Linked DNA regions of Schizosaccharomyces pombe. The gene in region 2 interacts genetically with the main gene of each other region. Each region holds a gene or a part of one and is shown on either strand. Other genes may lie near its edges.

The links.
Region 1: mutations in SPOM_SPAC29B12.11C (region 2) and pdk1 together harm fitness more than expected from each alone (negative genetic interaction), as found in Schizosaccharomyces pombe (one large-scale study listed by BioGRID).

Annotation. Positions count from the first base shown.
Region 1 is NC_003423.3:3,113,547-3,118,491, forward strand, and holds pdk1 (serine/threonine protein kinase Ppk21/Pdk1), read right to left. Parts: upstream 2,964-4,945; 5' UTR 2,841-2,963; coding exon 2,637-2,840; exon of another isoform or gene 2,534-2,636; coding exon 2,297-2,533; intron 2,243-2,296; coding exon 2,133-2,242; intron 2,070-2,132; coding exon 1,899-2,069; intron 1,849-1,898; coding exon 915-1,848; 3' UTR 685-914; downstream 1-684. Other genes in the region: SPOM_SPBC1778.09 (GTPase-activating protein), read left to right, coding at 1-422; proteasome core particle subunit beta 1 Pre3, read left to right, coding at 4,123-4,178, 4,222-4,304, 4,357-4,489, 4,673-4,945.
Region 2 is NC_003424.3:5,435,094-5,439,169, reverse strand, and holds SPOM_SPAC29B12.11C (WW domain-binding protein), read left to right. Parts: upstream 1-1,917; 5' UTR 1,918-1,967; coding exon 1,968-2,492; 3' UTR 2,493-3,298; downstream 3,299-4,076. Other genes in the region: SPOM_SPAC29B12.13 (S-(hydroxymethyl)glutathione synthase), read right to left, coding at 1-121; hot13 (protein TIM chaperone), read right to left, coding at 617-958.

The DNA.
Region 1 (4,945 bases), on a different chromosome or scaffold from region 2:
ACTTGTTTTCTTCCGGGTTTGATACACTTTTAAAGGCTTTTGACATGCTTAAGCATGAGTTAAGTTTTACACAATCAGGCAGACATCTGGCGGAAATTGGAGCAGAACCATCTGCTTTTGCTACACGTTGGTATCTCACTGTTTTTCATCAATGCGTGCCCTTCCATACTCAATTACGTATATGGGATCTCCTGTTTTTATTAGGTGGAAGCAAAGGTCAAACTGTCAGGTTATTGCAAGCCACTTCTCTTGCGGTTATACAAGGAATGTGGGACACGCTAATTGATGCAGACTTTGAAGTAGTAATGCAAGCTCTGTCAGGTGTTATTCCCATTCAAAACGATAACGCCCTGCTTGCTAGAATTCAATTATTTTGGGAAAAAATGCCTTCTGAAAATTCTTCTAAAAGTAAGAGAAACTGATATTTCTAACTCTTTTTTAATAGCTTTATTAATTGTGGCCCACATGATGTAACATATGTCAACAAGATGAGGATTGATATCACAGAGCTTAGCATAATGGGTCCTGAACATTTATCATTTTCTTTTTCTGTTTTAATTTGGAACGTTGATAAACATTATTTCCTTGATACCACAAAACTTTTATTGGTATCAAGAGTATGCGCTTTAAATCGATCCTATCTAACTCTCTCTTCTTACTAATATTATAATTTTAACATCTCACCAAAAGAAATGGAATTTTAACATAAAATTAATTCAAGTATATATATTATAAATACTATACATATATATGTATACATAATACCTCTCCATCTTGCGACTTCCTAGGTGCGTCGTAATTTCTAATTATGTATAGCTTAAATAGTTAAATATTACCAAAACACTGACGACAAATAATAAAATATAAAGAAGGTAGTAAATGGGTTGAAAAATCAAATAAAACAAGGTATGGGGTTACTCTTCCTCGTTCTCTTCTACATTCTCTTCTGAAGAACGAGATTGATGAGAAGACGCAACATCAGCAAACTTAAGGATTTTGTCTTTATACTTGGTGACATCCCCGGAACTGTCTTCTATTATCCAGGACTGGACCTTATCTTCAATCAAGAATCGCTTGGAACTATTTTCATCAAAAATCACTACAACACTGGAATCCTTCAAGTTCACCTCCATCTCGATAAAAAGTCTCTCATGTTTTCCTTTACAAACAAAAGCGCATCGACCAACATCAGTTAATAGCATAACCCTTTGCTTTCTTTTCAAAAACATTTTTGAGAGTCCAGATGGAAACTTATTACCCTCAGGTACACTTGGAATGGGTGATACGAAGACCGAGGTAGATTCAATGATCGACTCAGACGATGGAACCAACTTGTAATAAAGTCTGTCAACAGGCATCTGATGGCTTCGAAGTGAAGCATAGCCATAATGAGCAGTTGGAGCAGTGAAACGATTTACCGTAGGAAGCTCCTGACGTCGAGCAGTTTCCTGATGCTTTACAATGGATGCAGAAGCAAATGCCGCGGCAGCATTAGCAGCAGCTGCGGCTGTCACATTTGAGCGATAATAAGCAGGAGCATTAGGAATGGCTATGTTATAATTAGGCCGGAATGACTGCATAGGAGGAGGATCTTGAGTCCATAAATTGTCCCAAGTAATAGTAGCAAAAAAAGGAAATTGTTTTATTTGTTGGGTTGTAGATCGATCAGATGGCTGAATACGGAAAAGATGGCTAAACAAAGGAACGATATCAGGTGGTAAGAGCTTTGGAAGCTCATATTCCAGGCTCATTATCTTTTTGAAAATATTATTAGGATTGCTGCCATGAAAAGGAGGGGAACCAACAATCATTTGATAAACAACACACGCAAAAGCCCATAAATCGGAACTTAAATATTTGTCAGAAAAAAAATAGACTGGGATAATAGGTTTTCTTACGATTTTGAAACAACTTGTCTAGACAATAGTTCAGGAGCAACATATTCCGCAGTGCCAACAAAGGAGCTTGGAAAGGTAGTGTAATCAGGGCTATTTACATATTTAGGGGGTAGGATTTTGGCTGTGCCGAAATCGGTAATTTTTACATGCATATTTCCATCAAATAAAATGCTAAAAAATAGGTTAGAATTAGGAAAAGGAAACGAACATTTAATGACCACTACTCAAACATACTTTTCTGGCTTGAGATCTCTGTGAATTATACCGCAGGAGTGCATATACTCGATACTTGATAAAATCTCAGCAGCATAAAAGCGCACACAATTCTCATCAAGAAAACGATACTACCAAAGCTTAGTTAATAAAGGAAAAATGAATAGACTAATGAAAAAATATACCTTTTTGATGTATTGCAAAAGTTCACCATTGGGTGCAAGTTCAAGCACATAATAAAGTTTTAAATCATCCTGAAATGTATGGAAAAGACGAGAGATACCAGGAAACCCATTAAGTCTCATCATAGAATCTCTCTCTATATTCACATACTTAACCTTATTTTCCTTGACAATATATTTTTTATCAAGGACTTTGATAGCGTACTCCTTCCAACTCTTTTTATCAGTTGCTCTTCTCACCTAACGAATATTAGACAACTTATTCGTCAGTAATCGAAGGTCCATAGGTTAATCGACCTGCGGTTGAAAAACTTCTGAACTGAGAAGCAATGTATCAACTTACCTTTGAGAATGATCCATCTCCTATAATGTCACCAAAAACGTAATCCGCCGGAGATTTGATCGATCCTATATGACTTGTTCCTGGTACTACGTTGGAAGACTGAGGTTTTACCGGATTTCTTTCACCTCTAGCCTCGAAGTAATCGGGATCCGCATAATCCGGCAATGTACTTCGGCTAATGCGTTTATGCTCCAGATCCATCATTTATAAAAGAGGTTTTCATGAAAAATGAAGTTGTGTTTGAGTTACTTTACGTTTGCTGTTCGATTCCAACTGAAACACCGTGCATTTAATTGTGGAGTTGCTGGCCTTGGAGTTGTGTTCTGTGAAGGATGTAAACACTAAGTAGAGTACCCTATTTCTCCAATCCTCGTCATTATTACATAAATTTAAAACGTAGAATATGCCATGTAAACAATAAATTAAAGGTCGAATTGTCAAAGAAAAAATGCTCATTAAGCAGCTTGATAGCCTTATCATACCCATCAAAGTCTTACATCGCATTAATGATACTTCGATATGACCTGAAGATGGTAGTACAAAAAAATTGCTTTGGGTGTTTATAGCATTAGCGAAAGCGATACAATTTGGAACGGCAATGAAAATTTTTTTAATTCAATGTTTTAAGCTCACGCTAAGCTATCCATGGCGATATTCGCTCTAAAAAGCAATAAATTGCTTGAATATGTTTGAAATAGTTTATAAATAAATATATATATGTACATATTGTTGAAATAACAGACACCTAAACAAAAGAGATTTTTAGAAAGCCAGTTGTCTTTGGGATACTGCCTTACTAAAATAAGCAAAATACACTGTAGTTAATGAAATGCTTCTTGCCTTAATTCCAAAATTAATTTGGCGATTAACAGAATTTGGAACATCCCCTATCACCTCAATATTGCTTGGAATTCTGCTTCGCTAGAAATGAAACATAACATGATACCTAATTCACAGTTTAGAAGATCCGTCGTAAGAAATTCTCGTAAATATATATACATCATTCCAGGTCGAACTTCCAATATCTTCATTTTTTGTTAAAAGATCATGGTCATATTATTTTCATTCTTCAATAGCTATGGTTTTTTTCATGTTATTTGCGTAAGTAAACCAAATATAAGCAGTCGTCAAATATTAAGAAAACAAAATCTTCAGAAACCTTTTTAGTCCCAAACTTTTAGATTCTTTCATTCTTTCCTATGTTAATTTCTAGCTGAGCACTTTCAAGTTCAATCCATGGTTATAACTCTGTAGTCGGCTGTAACTTTTGATCAAAAATTTTTAATACTATACCCTTATCTATAGTCGTTAAAGAATTTCTTAAAAAATATACGAATTCTTTCAACACTTTTTACAATTGAATAACAATTTTTTATATTCATACTGCAATTTCATATGCAGGTAGCAATGTTACCTAAATTTTGGCTGCTTCTCAATACCATACACAAGTCCCTAATCATTTTAACCTTTCACCAAACTTCTGAAAATGGCCACTACTGTGAAAGATACTATGAATGTTGACATTAATGCTATTAAAAAGGGGTATGATTGCGGGAAATTGATTTTGAAAGTTCTGACTTTGTAGAGAAATTCGTATGGGTACCACCATCACGGCGCTCCGTTATAAAGATGGCGTTATACTTGCTGCAGATTCTCGAACAACTATGGGTGTGTATTGGAATATCAGAACTTTTCGTTCTTTGATTTCTAACGTTGCTAGGTGCATATATTGCAAATCGTGTCACTGATAAGCTGACTCAGCTGACAGACAATATTTGGTGCTGTCGCAGTGGTTCTGCTGCTGATACGCAAACTGTGGCTGATCTTCTAAAATACTATCTTTCCATGTATCGGTAAGTTACCCTTGAATGAACCGAATGACTGTAAATTAAGGCTGCTTTAGCTGGTTTATCCTTTAGAATAAACTATCGACTTACTCTCAAGTCCTTATGTTTACTAGATGATTACTAAAGCCTTTTTGCATGTTTTATTTTTCATTTTATTGTTGTTAAAAAAATTATCTAACGATTATGAAGTATTCAATTTGGCCATGACCCTAGTGTTCATACAGCTGCTACTTTAGCTTCTGAAATGTGTTATCAAAACAAAAATATGCTTAGTGCAGGTTTAATTGTTGCTGGATATGATGAAAAAACTGGGGGAGATGTTTACAGTATTCCGTTAGGTGGTAGTTTGCATAAGCAACCTTTAGCTATTGGAGGAAGTGGTTCTGCTTTTATTTATGGATTTTGCGATGCTAACTTTCGCGAAAATATGACCCAAGAGGAGGCTGTTGAATTTTTAAAGAA
Region 2 (4,076 bases):
TAAATGGACTGGAACACCATATTCTGCAAGTTTCACAATGACAACAACTAAGTTTAGGTTCTTCAATTATTGCCTTTAGGTGAATAGCTTTGCACAAACAGTTGCCTTCGTATTCAGGCATGATTTGTTGCTAAAATGTTCGTTGTAGTGGAAGGATTGAACGATCATCATATTTGACTATCCCGCATCTTTTATATCAAATTGTGTAGCTGAAGTGACAGGAATAATGTTCTTATGATTTCATGATTCGGATACCACATAACCGTGGCCATCCTAGATAGCAGTAAATGATTAAAACATAGAACATGTGGTTTGCATTGATGGCAGGTTTCTTTAATAATGTGATTGTTTTTACATTTTTTGGTTTATTAGAAGGTGGAATTGTATAAGCATTAAATTGCAATCTAGACAGTGAATCCTAGGTATATGATATGCCTCACGAATTTGATGGATGCTTTACAAAACCGAGTTACAAGCAAATTCCGTAGATTACAATATATTAAACAACCGCTAATATCGTGACAATATCTTCAACTGATGCGTGGGACAAAGCTAGCGTGGGTTTGACTCATAAAATAAAGCATATATAAAGACTATAAATCATGGGAACTTTGATTCAGGCGTCTTCAAAATAGTACCCGGCATGATTTTTACATTTAGGATTGAATGGATGATTACAGTATTTGCAATGAACAGTAGAACGGTATTCCTCTACTGTCAGTGAATTCTTGCAAGCTCCGCAAATTACACAAGGAATGTGAAACTTTGCTTTCCTCCAAGGTAAAAACGGATGTGTATTGAGTTCATCATGACATTGAAAACACGCATAAAACTTTTCACACTGTCCACATCTTAATGCCACGACGTCGGCTTTAGAATGATAATGAAAACAACGAGTTTCATTATCGACGAGTTTCCCATATACGTTAGTTGAAGAACGAGCCGTAGGAGTTTGCATAATTGCGAATAAGTTGATTTTAGCAACAGTTTTACATGTACAAGGGAAGTATTCGGAATGTTTATACCACAATTTGGAAAAGTGTTTGCTATGATTAGTTATATTTCAAAACAACCATTCGCATAAACGAATTGATATAATTCGAAAAGTGCTCTAAACGACAAATTTTGCTATACTTAAGTGGAAATGAAAGTGTTTTTTTATGACCACTACTACTAGTTCAAGTGAGTCAGTAACAAAAACTTTTTGGTTATTACGATCCCAAATTCTGCAAAGTAAGAGATAGATGGCTAAGAAGTTAGAAAGCTATGCAAGATATCAAAAACGAAATCATCAGTACTAAATCTTAAGTGAAATATGAACTATTAATGTTGGAAAAAAATCGACACCAGCAGGATTTGAACCTGCGCGCGGAGACCGCAACAGATTTCTAGTCTGTCCCTTTAACCACTCAGGCATAGTGTCTGATACTTCTATGGTTAATTAATGTTAATATAGTAAATAAAAAAATGAATATTGGGTTACAAGTTGTCATTCGACTAAAAACTCTTCAATTGAATATTTTATTTTAATTTTAATACAAACAATCTTAAATTTTCTCGTAAGAGAATTACTAAACCATATACCAGCTAGAATTTTTAATGATGTGAACTCGCTCTCAATTTCTATGCAAATTTGATTAATAGTGACATTACGGATAGTGTGCACTTATTATACCTACGAATTTGTATATTATATTGGCTTTATATGATTATTATCTTAAATTTTAATCCCATTAAGCACATACTAAAACCCTTCTATGTATAACGCAGGGCCTTATTTTACTTAACATACTATACTCTGCAACCCATTATCTAGGTATGTTTTACGTAAAATATGTAACAAAGAAAATGTTACCCTGAGACTACTGAAGAACTACCCTGGGAGATGCTTAAGACAACAAAAATTGCTGACTTCCCAATAACCAAATACTTTATAAAAGGTGAAATTGTGTTTCCGTAAAGAAAAAATGAGCATCAACTGGGTTACATATAAAGAAGGAAGTGAATCTGACATACTTCTCTTAGAAAATGAATGTATGTTTGATTGTTTTGATGGAGTCGCAATTTCGATACTGTGCAAACCTCCATCATTGAAATCTTGGACTTGCACAAAAGGTTTACTTTGCTTAACTAATCAACGACTGGTTTATATTGCAAAGGATACTGACTGTGACTTTAAGGATTTTCAATCCCCTGTTGCAAACTTGAAGGATACGAAACTTAATCAACCCTTTTTTGGAGCAAATTATTATTCTGGCACAGTAATGCCTGTGCCAAATGGTGGTATACCATGCGAAGCTGAGGTAAAATTACAGTTCAATGAAGGTGGCATCTTTAATTTTGTTGAAGCATGGAACCGTCTAATTCAAAGATTCCAAGAAGTTGACAGTGTATCTCGTGTACAACATTTAGATCCATTACCACCTTATCATCGTCCAAGCTCCAGTCAAGATCAACCTCCTCACTATGAGGAAGCGGTTAACAAATCGTAATTCCTTTTATCAACTGCAACTCGTTGTGTCCGTCCTTTTTATTTAATCCTTTGCATACCCCTTTTTTCCGCGACTTTGACTTTTTGTTTTCTCTTTTTTTTTTCAGACTTAGTGTGCATAACTCCCCGCGTCAATTACTGATTACTGATGATTTTTAACCCTCATAAACCAATTCATCTATTCCTTTGTTGGGGTTTGTACTCACTGGTCTACATTTATGATCGAAACATGTTTTCGATTACATGTACCATGTTTACGCATGATTTTCCTTGATGTCCACAAATTTATATATTCATTATCCATTGATGTGCTGTAATTATCATATATTCAAAAACTTTACTTTGCTTGACTTTTAAGGCTTTTAATGCAGAAATGTCAAAGTGATATTTCGTTGTAATGGTTTCCCTTTCTCATTAACCCTCTTGCAAATACCTATTATTGCTCTCTACTATATAAAATTGCAAGTTATACATTGGACGCGTTAATGGCTTTTTTTTGTTATTTTCACCCTTGTATCTTGCGCAATAGAGCATCTATGTTTAACAATTAAAAAAATGGGAACTATTTTCGAACTCGTTTCAGGCTAGATTTCCCTTATGTTTGTTGGTTTATAGTTTCCCGAGACAAATCTAACACAGTCTTCCGTCCTTGCTTTAAACTGTTGATCTTTTGCTGACATGGTTATATTTACAATTTTGCTGAGGCAAAAATACGAAACCCTTAATAAAAACGAGGTCAAGTACCTCTTCAAACATTATTTAATATTTGTCGGTATGAGATCCATAAATTTGATGATGAAATTATTTAAAATGAAATTTGTTTATTTATTTTAGTAGATCGTTTCCAGTGATCACCGATGAATAATCTTTACTTTTATTAAATAACACAAAAACCAGAAAACTTATATTAAAGTAAAAGATTCGGTTTATTTGTGTTATAGAGGGAATAAAAGGTTTACTGTATAAGAATTTACAGGTTAATTTGAATTTACACAAAGTAGTAAAAATGGTTCTGATGCTGCTTTGTTTTTCCGAATAACTGAGAAGGAAAAAAATTATTGCAATGTCTAAATTTAATCATTTGCGAATTATAATGCAAACAATAAGATATTTCTACGAAGCTACTAAAGGTTACTTCTATAGGTAGTATAAATTAATATTTGTACAGATTTTATTATTACCTTAAAATAGTCCCTTTTTTTTGTTATATCTATGAAATGAAAAAAGTACCTAACTGGATTTTGGTTTTTTTTTTATTTTCACTAGGCAAATTGATAGTAAAACTAACACAATGCAACATTAAAGAATCTTAGTATCGTTAATCAACAGTCAAAATAAATTGTCTATTATGCAACAAAATATTTCTAATAAAAGGACTATTTATTAAGTCATGCTACACATTTGAAATTTTTTGCTTGTTGTCATAGTATACTTTGCATGGGAATTGCGCAAATTAAAAAAAAAAAAAGGAAAAAAAGAGAAATATGGAAATGAAGTCTTTTGGCTACAAAAAAAGTAAAATTAAAAGAACTTCAAAATAACACTATTAGTACTGTAGTAGGAAGTAAAAATGAATAAACCAACT